Linked DNA regions of Mus musculus. The protein of the gene in region 2 interacts with the protein of the main gene of each other region in a pairwise test. Links are inferred from orthologs where the notes say so. Each region holds a gene or a part of one and is shown on either strand. Other genes may lie near its edges. The genes, in order: Hnrnpm, Hnrnpf and Hnrnpul1.

What was found.
Region 1: the proteins of Hnrnpf (region 2) and Hnrnpm interact in binary tests that used the Homo sapiens proteins (3 or more experiments, as listed by UniProt). The two-hybrid records come from large-scale screens. The link is inferred for Mus musculus from reciprocal best matches to the Homo sapiens genes HNRNPF and HNRNPM.
Region 3: the proteins of Hnrnpf (region 2) and Hnrnpul1 interact in a two-hybrid assay, tested with the Homo sapiens proteins (3 studies listed by BioGRID and IntAct). The link is inferred for Mus musculus from reciprocal best matches to the Homo sapiens genes HNRNPF and HNRNPUL1.

What each region holds. Positions count from the first base shown.
Region 1 is NC_000083.6:33,682,579-33,686,710, reverse strand, and holds the start of Hnrnpm (heterogeneous nuclear ribonucleoprotein M), read left to right. Parts: upstream 1-1,252; 5' UTR 1,253-1,331; coding exon 1,332-1,444; intron 1,445-4,132. UniProt on the Homo sapiens protein: Pre-mRNA binding protein in vivo, binds avidly to poly(G) and poly(U) RNA homopolymers in vitro. Involved in splicing.
Region 2 is NC_000072.6:117,905,299-117,909,624, forward strand, and holds the start of Hnrnpf (heterogeneous nuclear ribonucleoprotein F), read left to right. Parts: upstream 1-1,483; 5' UTR 1,484-1,541; exon of another isoform or gene 1,542-1,811; coding exon of another isoform or gene 1,812-2,543; exon of another isoform or gene 2,544-2,620; intron 2,621-2,805; coding exon of another isoform or gene 2,806-2,907; intron 2,908-4,326. Other genes in the region: uncharacterized protein 4933440N22Rik, read right to left, coding at 1,812-2,543, 2,806-2,907.
Region 3 is NC_000073.6:25,723,707-25,727,295, forward strand, and holds part of Hnrnpul1 (heterogeneous nuclear ribonucleoprotein U-like protein 1), read right to left. Parts: intron 3,198-3,589; coding exon 3,029-3,197; intron 2,509-3,028; coding exon 2,218-2,508; intron 1,139-2,217; coding exon 849-1,138; intron 1-848.

The DNA.
Region 1 (4,132 bases), on a different chromosome or scaffold from region 2:
AAGAGGAGTCGGAAAAGGGTGGGAGGGAGGTTTCTGTTATACATCTCTTCTAATGCTTTGAATTACATGGAGAGTTTTAGTTTGATATTAACCTGTCAAGAATTCTGCATGCAGGGTTGGCTCTGTCTTAGTGGGTAAAGATGTTTGCTGCCAAGTTTGACAACCTAAATTTGATTACTGGAAAGAGAAAATCAATTCCCACATGCCAGCCATGGCATGCTCAAAGCCTGTATTCAATCATTCCCCCTCCATCCCCCCCCCAATAAAAATAATTCCTGCCAACATAATTTTTATATTTTTTCTCCATTTAAGGAAAGCTGATCTCTCCTTGACATGCCACGGACATTGTCAAAGCAGTTGTGGTTACTTGCACAAGATAGAACCTCATCATGTTGGGGTGGGGGAGCCTTGGGAGGCTTCACCCTTCCCTGAAGATCTATTGGTAGTAGATGCTGGAGGAAAGAGGTGTCATTTTCCTCAGTGTTGTAGCCACCTATTTAGTTGCCCCAATAAATCAACCCCTAATCTATGCTCTTGCAAGCAAACCCAACTCAGTAGGTCATAAAACAAAGACAAGGAGGTACATGGAGGAACTTGTTGGAAAGAAGGTACAGTGGAAATGCGGGAAATAAAAGGGCAATGGTAGGTGAATATGATAAAAGAACAGTATAGGGTCAGGGATTGAAGTTGATAGACTGCTAGCATGTTCAAATCACTGGGTTCAATTCCTAGCACTGATTAGCCTGGTTCCTCTGGCCTATCATTCTAGCACTCAAGAGGTGTAGGCGGCAGCTCAGACATTCAAGGCCAGTATTGGCTAGAAACTGTCTCAACAACAACAGCAAAACCCCAAGCAAGCGCAAAATACATGATATACATATATGAAGTTGCTGAAAAAAGAAAAAGAAAGAAAAGGCCAGGCGTGGTGGTGCTTGCCTTTATTTCCTGCACTTGGTAGGTAGGGAGAGGCTGGAGGGCTACATAGTGAGACCCTGCCTCAAAAAAGAAAGCTAATGAGTAAAACAAAACGGAAAAATATAAAGTAAGCTGGACCGACTAGGTCCGTATGTGCGCTCGTATTGTAAGTTCGAATGAGCGACACATATCTCTCCCCCTGTCCCACAACCCAACTGTATCTGCGGACATCGGGAAGTGAGGCCTGCCACTGGAGGAGGCGTGGCCTGACGTCCAGGGGGCGTGACCCGAGGCGAGCAGGAAGCGGGAGCCGGTCGCCGCACAAGGAGGCGTTACTGGTCGTTCGGGGTCACGTGAGCGCGCAGGCGCAGCTCGACAGAGCCCGCTCCCTCACACAAAGCCCAGACGCGGAGAAAATGGCGGCAGGGGTCGAAGCGGCAGCCGAAGTGGCGGCGACAGAACCCAAAATGGAGGAAGAGAGCGGCGCGCCCTGCGTGCCGAGCGGCAACGGAGCTCCGGGCCCGAAGGGGTGAGTAGTCTAACAGCAATTGATCCTTCTCTAACTCCAGCCAGGTTACTTCGCAGCTCCGTTAGGTCTGTGGGCCGCTTTCTCTTCTCCCACGGCGGCGCGGCGTCTGCGCAGGCCTTTTCCCTGCCGAGAGTTGGGGGCGGCCAAGGCTGTGACGACGACGAAGCCAGGAGAGCCTAATGGATCGCCCCCTGCCGACAGCGCTTGCCTCCGCTGCCTCAGCCTCCTGGCTGTCTGAGCGCGTCGTCGAGGCCTCAGGCCTGTGGCCTGGTATTTTATTCTCAGAGCAGTGATGGCGCGCGGGCTGCGGGAGATCAGGGCCCGCAGCACCTCTCACTGGGGTCTCGAGGGTTGAACCATTAAGACTGTGTAGTTTCAACCCTTCAGCATACAATCCATAGTAGTGGAAGTATTCTGTCTCAGTTTCTCAGATCTGAGAAGTTAGGGGCGGGAGGCTTGCGCGTGCGAGGTGTCACGTGTACGGTCGGCGGCGCGACCCGGAAGGTGTCGACATGACTCTTGTTGCGGGGTTCCGAGACACCGGTGTTACCCTCATTCTGCAAGAAGTGCTTCTTCCATTAGAATGGCCCCGGACCCGGGCTCCTGGGCTGGAGTTCTTTCCCCTCTTTATAGTCCTACTTCCTAAAGTGCAGTTGGTACCAATGGGAGAAATGGTCTTTGCTTGCTCAGTGTTCATCCTTAGCAACAGACCTAAAGTGTTCGGGTAGAGGCACCACTTCGGGGTTTCAGAAATTAAAATAGACAGACGTCATCATCCCTTTTTTGGAATCCTGCTTGGAGATCTGTCTAGGGACCTTGATTCGTTATTATAAGTGTCCTAGCATGGCCTGAGGAGTCCCAGCCTTTTGGGAGGAGTGGGAAGCTGCAGGATCCAGAGTGCAAAGTGTGGCCAGACTATATAGAGTGAGTTCAGTCTAGGTTGCCATTTAGTCATTGGGAAATTGAGCTAGACCCTAACTCTCAAAAAGAGGGATGAAAACATAGCAATAACCTGGCACTCCAAAGTCCCTAGATTCGATTCCTAATATCAGACCACAGGGTGGTCTTTCTGAGCCCTAAAAAGTTTTCTTCAAGGAGGAAACCATAAGATTCTGCTCCTGTGAAACTCTCCTCATACTGATATACTAATATATCAGCTTGAGGAGGTCTGGAGAAACATTTTGGTTCTAAAATCAGCAGCCCATGTCTCTGAATTTTTGTTTTCCATCAAATGTATAAGGTGGGAAGTTTTAGGACTCTGGGAGTTGAGAGTACTTAAAACACTTGTTAGTGAAGCATTTACCAAGTAATGGCTATTTTGTTACTGGAGGAAATTTCATATCTTTTATCTTAGTTAGGGAGAAGTAAAACACCATTGGTTAACTGGTTCTTGTGTGTTATTCAGCACTGGAGAGGCTGCGTGAGTTCCAGAGCTGATTCGGCTCAAGATTTGCCTAAGCTACATAAGTACTTGCCTGTCGTGTATGAGTGTGTAGATTATAGCCCATTAATAGAGTAGTTACTCAAGATGCACAAGGTCCTGGGGTTCACCCCATAGTACTAAAAGGATAAAGAGGCCTCTCTTTACTACCAGAAAGGCTCAGCTTAGGAGTGTGCTCATTTTTAACTTTCCCTTCCATCCTCTTGGGAACTCGGGGTCTTGAGGATGCTAGACAAGCACTCTTACCTCTGAGCTACACTTGAGCACCTTTAGTTAGTCTCATGTTCAGATTTTTCAGCTTTTGTCATAGAGATGCCTTGTAGGATCAGATTCCCTCTTCTAGTCTTTGTTGTTTTCAGTTTTTGAGTTAGATGCCTGGGCAAACTGTAGAGTCTACAGTGTAGACTGTGATGGCTTTGAATTCAGAACAACGCCTCTGCTTCTGTCACCTCCACCCAGTTGCTGGAATTACAGGTGTGTACTACCACGTCTGGTTCACTTTCTAGGATTTCAGAGGGCCTTATTTAAAAAGCTTTAAGGAAGTTAATTTCTGTCCAGAGTGGTAATGCATGCCTTTAATCACAGCACTTGGGAGGCAGAGGCAGGTGATTATCTGAGTTCAAGGCCAGCTTGGTCTACAGAGCCCAGGACAACCAGGGCTACACAAAGAAACCCTGTTGCAGGGGCAAAAAATTATTTCCTATATATAGAATGCAATGCCGCTAGAGCCTTTCTATATGAAAGATTGCATTTTTAATAGAACACGGTCCTATGGTACAGTTTTAAATTTCCACTGTCTGTATTCAGATAGATAACTTGTGGCTGAGTCATTTGACAGACAGAATGTGCATAGGAAGTATCAGATGAAATAGCCCTTGTGGGAAAGAACCTGAGTGGTCTCAGACTGGCTTAATGGAGGATACCTGAGAAAGTGGCAGCACTTAGTTTTGTAGTGTGGGTGAAAAATAATTGTTATTTTTGCATCACAAAGTTCTTGAAACAAACTCTTTTAAAAGCACAGAGTGTCTTTTTCTTCCCACCTTTTGACTAAGATTTGAACCCAGGTTTTCGTGCTTGTTAAGTATGCATGTATATTACCTAGTGAACCTTCTCACTAGCTTGCTTTTTTTTTTATTAAAAATATTATGAGAATGCATGTTTTGTCTGCGTATGTGTCTATGCACAACATGCATGTACATGGAGGCCAAGAGAGGGCATTGGGTCTCCTGGCACTAGAATTTTAGACA
Region 2 (4,326 bases):
TTTAATCTCTCACTTTATGCCTCAGGAGGCAGGGGCCGGTGGATCTCTGAATTGGAGCCATAGTGAGTTCCAGGACAGCCAGCTTTACAACAGAGATACCATGTCTTAGGGTGGGGGTGTGGGGAACCAAAAGAAACAATACAAAACAAAACAAGAGTTGGAAGCCAGCCTGGGTTGCAGTCAGACAGAGGGAGCTCAAAAGTGAAACCTCTGGCTGTAAAAATCTGGGAACTTCAATTTGACCCCTGGAACTCACCTAAGGGAAATGAAAATACTTGTGAAAAGTTGCTCTCTGGCTTCTTCAAGGTTAGAAGTCACTTGCACCTTTCTCTGGCAATAGTAAGGAACTTTAAAAATAAATAAAACCACCCAAGGAGCAGGGTGAGAGGTCTCAGCAGAACTTGCTGCACAGGCCTTTCAACCTTGAGTTTGATCAGGACCCCACATGGTGGAAGGAGAGAACACTCAGGATTGTCCTCTGACTTCAGTTGAAAGTGTGGTGATAACTCGCACGAACTTAACAATTTTAATGCCCCACTCCCTGGGCAAACAAACAAACAAACATCAGAGGTGGGGGATGTAATTTGCCAACTACAAGGCTCTGGGTTTAGTGCTCACGAATACTTATCTAACTTTTGTAGCATCTGTTTTCTATCATTTGACTTCTATTTTTCTTCTTGGACAGGTTTTCCTCTCAAAGTTTTCTTTCCTTTTTCTGGAGTTAGTCTGGTGTGTTGTTTTATAAACGTTTCCTTCATCACTGTAGTTCACTTATAACCAGAGATTATTCTGAACGGCCTTGTAATTTCTCCAGTGTTTATATAGACAGCAGCTCGCGACCATGCATTGTAGCCTCGGCCGCCTCCATGCAGAAATGGAGTTCGTAGGAACCAGCTCGTGTTCCTACGCCCGCCTAGGCGGCTCTGGAAGCTTCAAAAATAATCTTCACTTTAGCTTGTATCTCGACATCTCGCAGAGAATCCTCCCAAATTATTACACATCAAGAAAATCTGTCCCAGCGTTCACATAGTGCTGAGAGTTAGAAACTTCAGACAAATCCCTCCGGACTGCCTGAGATGCCCTTAGGCGGTCTTTCTTTTACATAAGACACCATTCTAGTTTTCCGCACGCATGCGGTCATTGATTCCTTTGGGATCACTTTTCGGGATGCGGAGACACGCGTGCAGAATTCAGCGTCCACCGACTCACCAGCCCACAGGTCTCTTTATGGACAACCCCCTCCACCTTGCTGTCTCCCCCCCCCCCCTCGTTTGCCCGCCCCCTCCCCCTGCTACCCCCCCCCCGCAATGTTTGCGCCTGCGCCGTCACTGTCCTCTCCGGGACTCAGAGGCGGGTCCACAGCTCTCTAGTCCCGCCCCTCTCCCTCCCCCGGCCAATCCTAGGCTCCGTTCTGGGCTCGTCAGAATGGCGCCGCGGCTGCCCTGTGCCCGGATGTCCGCTGCCTGAGGCTCCGCCCCATCACCGTCTTGCATCCTTCCGGCTCCGTCGTGGAAGGAGGACTGCGCCTCGTCTTCCTGAAGGTGGGGTTCGGGGAAGGCCAGCCCGCGGTCACGCCGGCTGTGGGAAGGGAAAGTGGGCTCCCCGGGCTACTGTTTCCGGGTGCTCGGGGCGTGGGCCGAGCGGGGAGCGGACCGGGGATCAGGAGGGCTTCCGGAGGCGCCGCTGGCGCTCGGCAGGCGGGAGTTGAGGAGCAGGCCGGCCGCGCGGTTGACTCGCCCCGCTGAGGCCGTCCCGCGAGCGCGCCTGTGGGGGTTTCCATGGTGACAGTAAACAAGCCTCAACTGCCTCAGCTACAACTGCCAAGTCCCCGGGGTTCCACCCTCCTCTAGGTGCTCTGAGGGCCGGCGAGGTCCGGATGTGAGTGGGAGCGTGGAGCCGAGAAGCCGGAGGTGAGGGCCGCCGGCGGGGTGTGCTGGCGCCTGGGCCCGGCGGGCGTTGGATGGCGGGCGTGGGATCCGGACTCGGAAGGAACGGGGCCGAGGTGGCCGCCGCACAGCCATAGCCGTGCGGAGGCTGCCCACGGAGCTGGGGACCGCGTGGCCGGGGTTTGGGGTCGGGAGCCGAAGTTCAGCGCATTTTCGACGGGGATTGGGCCGCGTGGCCGAGGTGTGCGGTCGGGGGAGCGGGGACTGAGGGCTGGAGTCCGGTCGGTAGGGCCGGGCCTCTGGGCTGAGGTGTGCGGAGGGCCTGGGAGACCGCAGCCGCGGCCCACGCCCGCCCGGAGAAAGCGCGGCTTTCCTCAGAGCCGCCCCCCCACCCCGCCCGCAGGCGCGGCTTCCTCGGCGGGATATTGGGGGGGGGGGTGAGGGTGGAGCGCTTCTCACCCACCGCGGCTTACGCTCTGTCAGCGGCCCCCCGGCAGGCCCGGGCGGTGGTTGTAGTTTGGAGAAAGACGAGCGGGCGCTCACGTGGCCCGAGGCGCCCGGAGTTTCACAAGACTGGGCGGGACGGCTCCGCCCACCGCCCACGCCCGGCCCGAGCGAAGCCGAGCGCCTCGCTTCCTCCTCGTGGCGGCCCGGGAGCTAGGAGCACCGGTCTGCGCCGGTCCCGTCCCCCAGAGGTATCGTGTTAGCGTGTGGGGTGCGGAGTCTTTGCCTAGGTGGGTTAGTCGGCCTTAGCCGCAGTTACGAGCACTTTTGTGCTGTGTTTGTGGAGCCTCACGTGTCTGGGAAAAGTTGAGGTGGGCCCGCTCGGCCTTCCCTCGGCGCGTGCTCTCCGGAGCCTTCCCGACCCGGCGGGATCGGAGAGGCAGCCCCATGTGCCCTAAGACTCCCACCCAGCGACCTTTTCTGCCCCTGCCAGTCCGGGAACAAACAAATGGGCCTCTTTCCTACCTGCAAGTCGGGCTGCGGAGTAAGCGGGCGAGCGAGCGCGGGTGGCCGCCATGTGGCTGTGCGGGATCGGTCTCCTGAACCTGGGCAGTTTTGTTTACGGAACTTTTGGGCTTATTTTAGTCGGTTTCCTTTAATGTTTATTTGTGCGTGGAGGTGAGGGGATAAGGTGAAGAAATGGATTTTTCCAGCACTGGGTCCTTGGGATTGAATTGAGGGTCCCTGTCACAATGATCTATCGCTCTGTCCAGGGGGTGGTTTAAATATTTAATTCTTCTAGTTGAACAAGACAGACGATATCTGGAAATAGTTAATACTTAAGTCTTTCTTCCCTTCGTGCTGCGGAGTGGAGGTCAAAACGTGGTTCAGTTCTTCCATCTGTGTATTCAGACTGAGCGCAGGTAGCTAAGGTCTGGCAAAAAGTGCGTTAGCCCATTGAACAATGTCGAAGTACTTTTGAGTACGCCGGGTGGCTATGCATGCTTTTGCGCTCAGCGCTCGGAGGTAGATCTCAGTTGAGAACAGTCTTACAGACCAAATCCTGACTTAAATTTTGAACTTTCTGCTTTTCTTATCTCCCTCGTGTTGCCATTAGTCTTACCAGCCTTTTTTTTTTTTTTTAAGTTACAAATCATTATGTAGCCACAGAGGATGACCTTGAATTCCAGATCACTCAGCTCCACCTCTAGATTGGAGTACTAACTCGACCACACCCCATTAGTAGTTACTGGGCATGGCAGGCTTTAGGCACGCTTTGTCAGCCCCATTCTGTCTGTATTATGCCCGTTTTTGTAGTAATTTTTAAAAAAGATTCATGGTTTGATTTGAAGGAAGGCCTGGGCACACTGGATCTAAAAGTAAATGCAAAAGTGATTACTTGTTTCTTGAGGTAGGGTCTAACTATTATATTACGCCTTGGCGCAAAATTACTGTATATTTAGATAAGGCTGGCTTCAAACTCAAGCAACACACCTACTTTTGCTTCCATAGTGCTGTGAATTGCTGGCATTAAAGGCATGTATCACGAAGCACAGCTAATACAAGGGGGTGTGTGTGTGTGTAACAGCTTTCTTTTGTTTTTCGAGACACGGTTTCTCTGTATAGCCCTGGCTGTGGCTGTCCTGGAACTCACTTTCTAGATCAGGCTGGCCTGGAAGTCAGAAATCCGCCCACCTCTGCCTCCCAATTGCTGGGATTAAAGGTGTACACTACCACGCCTGGCTGTATTTTGTACTTTTGAGATGTTTGGTTTTGTTTGGGGGGGGGGTTATTTTGTTCTTTTTGGATTTTCAAGACAGGGTTCTCTTTGTAGCCCTGGCTGTCCTGGAACTCTGAAATGTTTGTTTTATATGTGATTATATTTAAGACTTTAGTAAATGCCGAAATAAAACTACTGACCATTTGCTTACCAAAAAAATTTCAGTTCTCTGTGTAACCCACAAGTGAATGGTTGTGGGCAGATGATACCAGTAAC
Region 3 (3,589 bases), on a different chromosome or scaffold from region 2:
AGGTACTGCACACAGGTGGGGCACATACAAACACATATAAACACACACACATAAAGTAAATTTAAAAAATAATGAACTCTAAAAAGAAAATCTAAGCGAGGTTGTTGGGCCAAGTCACACTATTAGAATGACTAACCCAGGTCTGCCCAGTTCCAGAGGCTTCATTAAGCTACAGTCCCCATCACCTCACAGAAACTTCACAAGTGATTCCTAGTAATGTTTCTGTCCTTTATGTGGAAACAAGGACCAGAAGGGTCAAGCTGACTGTCCCAGGTCAAAGTCAGGTTCTGTTGGAGCTAGCGCTGAACTTAAGTCTTGCCAAACTCTCATTCTAGGAAATGTGCTGGCTGGGTGGCATCTAGGAGCACTCATCTGCTCCTGGCAAGTGTTCCCAGCTGCTCCCTGGCATGTAATGGGTACTCAGACAGCTGTGAAATAAAAGAGATGGCTTCAGTTCACCAGAACCCAGGCACTGGCTTCCTAAGAAATGGAACAGGGTCTGGAGCTATTAAGGGACAAGGTCCTTACTTATCTACCTTTGGACCCTGGCCTCCCATGATGGGCAAAAGGTGACTCAGTGGAGTGCTTTCTTATAGACCCAATGAGGCCAGTGACAGCCTAAAAGACATGATCTTGCTGATGGGAGCCAATGCTTGCAGCTACCTCCACCTTTGGGGAAGAGGGAGAATCTAGCCATTTCTATGTTTGACACAGCTGAACAGCAACTGCAAGGGAAAAAAAAAGGACAGGCTGGAGGGAAGAGAGCCGCAGACCCGTGGCCATACCTCAGACCTGCCTCCTCTTCTCAACACAAGTGCATACGTGTACAAACATACACATGGCCTCACCTGTGGAGGGGTGTAGCTGCTCACTGTAGGGGTGCTGGTATTGGCGCTGGAGCCAGGGATGTTGCTGTTTTTGTTGTAGCTGCTGGCTCCCGGAGGGTTCCGAGCAGGGCTATAGCTAGGTGGTGGTGGTGGTTGTTGTGGTGGTGGTTGTGGTGGCGGTGGCTGTTGTGGTGGTGGCTGTTGCTGAGGAGCCCGGTTATAGTTGCCTCGGTTGTTGGAGTTGTTGTTATCCCTGTTGTTATTACCCCAGCGGTTTTGGTTGTAGCCACCACCTCCGCTGCGGTTGAAACCTACATTAGAAAATCCATAAGAGGACTCAGCATGGCTGGCTGTGACCAAGACTGAGGTCAATAAAGCAAGCAAATGCAGGTGCTGCATCCATGCCTCCCCCAGGCCCTCAGCACACTTCCTTGTTCTTGCCCTGACACAACACCTAGAGTCACTGCAGACAGGTCTGTGCCTTCCAGTGGACTGTGAGCAGGCAAGGCACAGATGTCTTAGATGTGTTCAGCTCCATGTAACTGTTCAACAAATTAGAAAGGTGTTCAGGAACAATGCTAAGCAGCAGTAAACAGCTGCAAGCTAGTCAGATTATAGTCCAACAGGCTGGGCCAAGTGGCCTCTCTTGAGCCATTGTACAACTGTTTCTTGAATCTGTACCCTCATCAAACCAAAAGCAGGCTCCACAGAGACCCTTCCTGAGTTGCTTATCTACATGAAGGTTGTTAATTTGGTGTCATGAGGTCACAACATCCTTGGTCACTGAAGGGTCTAGAACATGTCTGATACACAGTTTTAAAGATGTGTTTGAAAGACATATTTTTATTTGGCATGTGTATGAAGGGATTGCATACTGTAGAGCTAGAGTTATAGGCACTTGTAAGCAGCTCAGTGTGGCTGCTGAGAATCAAACCTGAACCCTCTGGAGGAGCAACTAGTGCTTTTAACTGATGGGAGAGGTCTCTGGTCCCACATTTGTTAATTTATGATCACACTTTACTTCAGACACCATACCATTTATTAAGAATTTAGATTTTAGCTCACTGGACTCCCAGCTCAATTTAGCTCTGTGATCATGGGCAAATTAATTGCTCTAAGCTTGTTTCTTCACTTGTTTTTGAACAAAAAGCAGTTCTAATATTTGCCATTGTGAGATCTACAGATAGATCCCAAGATTCCTCAGAGAGTGTACGGTCAGATAGGGAAAGACCAACAAAGAGAGCACTGCCATGTGCAAATGGGCAAAGGCATCAGTGCGGCTGGGAGACCAGGCAGTGGGAAGGCCCAAGGCTGCAGAGTAGTAACTCCCATCAACCGGTTCCCACAGCCTGGCCTCAAAACACAAGGCTGGAGAAGGTAAATGTCTCACCTCCTCGGTAGTTGCCTCCTCCACCACCGCTGCCACCACCACCTCCCCGGTTCTGGAAGCCTCCTCGGTTGCCTCCAGGAGGGCCTCGGTTGTCATACCGCTGGAAACCGCCGCCGCCCCCACGGCCTCGGAAGCCTCCGCCTCTGCTGTCAAAGCGCTTCTCAGGGGGCGGGCCGGCCTTCCGGCCTTCCTCGTTGTATTGCCTCACCAGCTTGTCTGCCTCCTCCCGCTGGAGCTCAATGAACAGAACCTCATCCAGGAAGTCCCCGACATCAGGCAAAGTGAAGTTGGCTGGGAGGAAGTAGAAAAGGAGAGCAGGTCAGCACCTTCTGATGTCTGGTTCTCTTTACCTCAAATTATTGGTTCACTAGAGTAGGAAGGCTGAAGGAATGAGGTTAAGATGGGACCCCAACTGCTTGGTGTAAACACCGGCAGGGGCTAACAGACTCTTCCCCAGAGAGCAATTCAGGTCTCTCCAGCCTCACCTCAAGGTGCTTCAGAGGCAATGAAGCTACACCCCATCTCCTCCCACGGTGGAGCAAACTGAGGCTTGCCCAAGTGCTGGGGGCCAGAGGTGGGAGATGGTGTACGTCTTTCAGCTTGGGCTCTACACACACTTTCTTTCTCTCATGACACCCATCCCCATCCAGCCTGAAAGTCCTTCCCCAGCTGGAAGCCAGATCCCTCACATGTGGGTAACGGGAGACACAAAATAGAAACAAAGACCAGACCACAAAGGAATCACAAGGAGCTGAGAAGGGCCTTGTCTTGAAGATGCTGTTAAAATGGCCCCCAACCACTCATTTCCTACCTTTCATTTCTAAGACTGCGTGATCTGGGACATCCTTCCCTTCTTCGTCCGTTCGCTTTACTGTGCGGTCTTTGAGGTCCTCATCAGTTGGACAGATTACAATAGCTTTCCGCTGGAAGCCTTCAAACGGTCTCATTTTCCGTCTCTGGGCTGACCCATAAACATTGGTCTGAGGTAGGTAAGAGGCAGAGATTGGATACTCAGAGCCATCTCTCTTGCAGGGCATTGTGCAGGGAAACCATCAGAAAGGTAAAATACGAATCCTCCCAGCACAGACTCAGGAAATAGCTCCTTTTCACTTTTTGAACTCATGTCCATCTAAGCAAATGAAGAGACTTAGGAAACACAAAGAGGTTGGCTCCCAATAACTGGGCTTTCTGTTAATCCTATTTGTTACTGGCACTGTAGTTTAGAAATCCTTTCCCGGGCTGGTGAGATGGCTCAGTGGTAAGAGCACCCGACTGCTCTTCTGAAGGTCCAGAGTTCAAATCCCAGCAACCACATGGTGGCTCACAACCATCCGTAACGAGATCTGACTCCCTCTTCTGGAGTGTCTGAAGA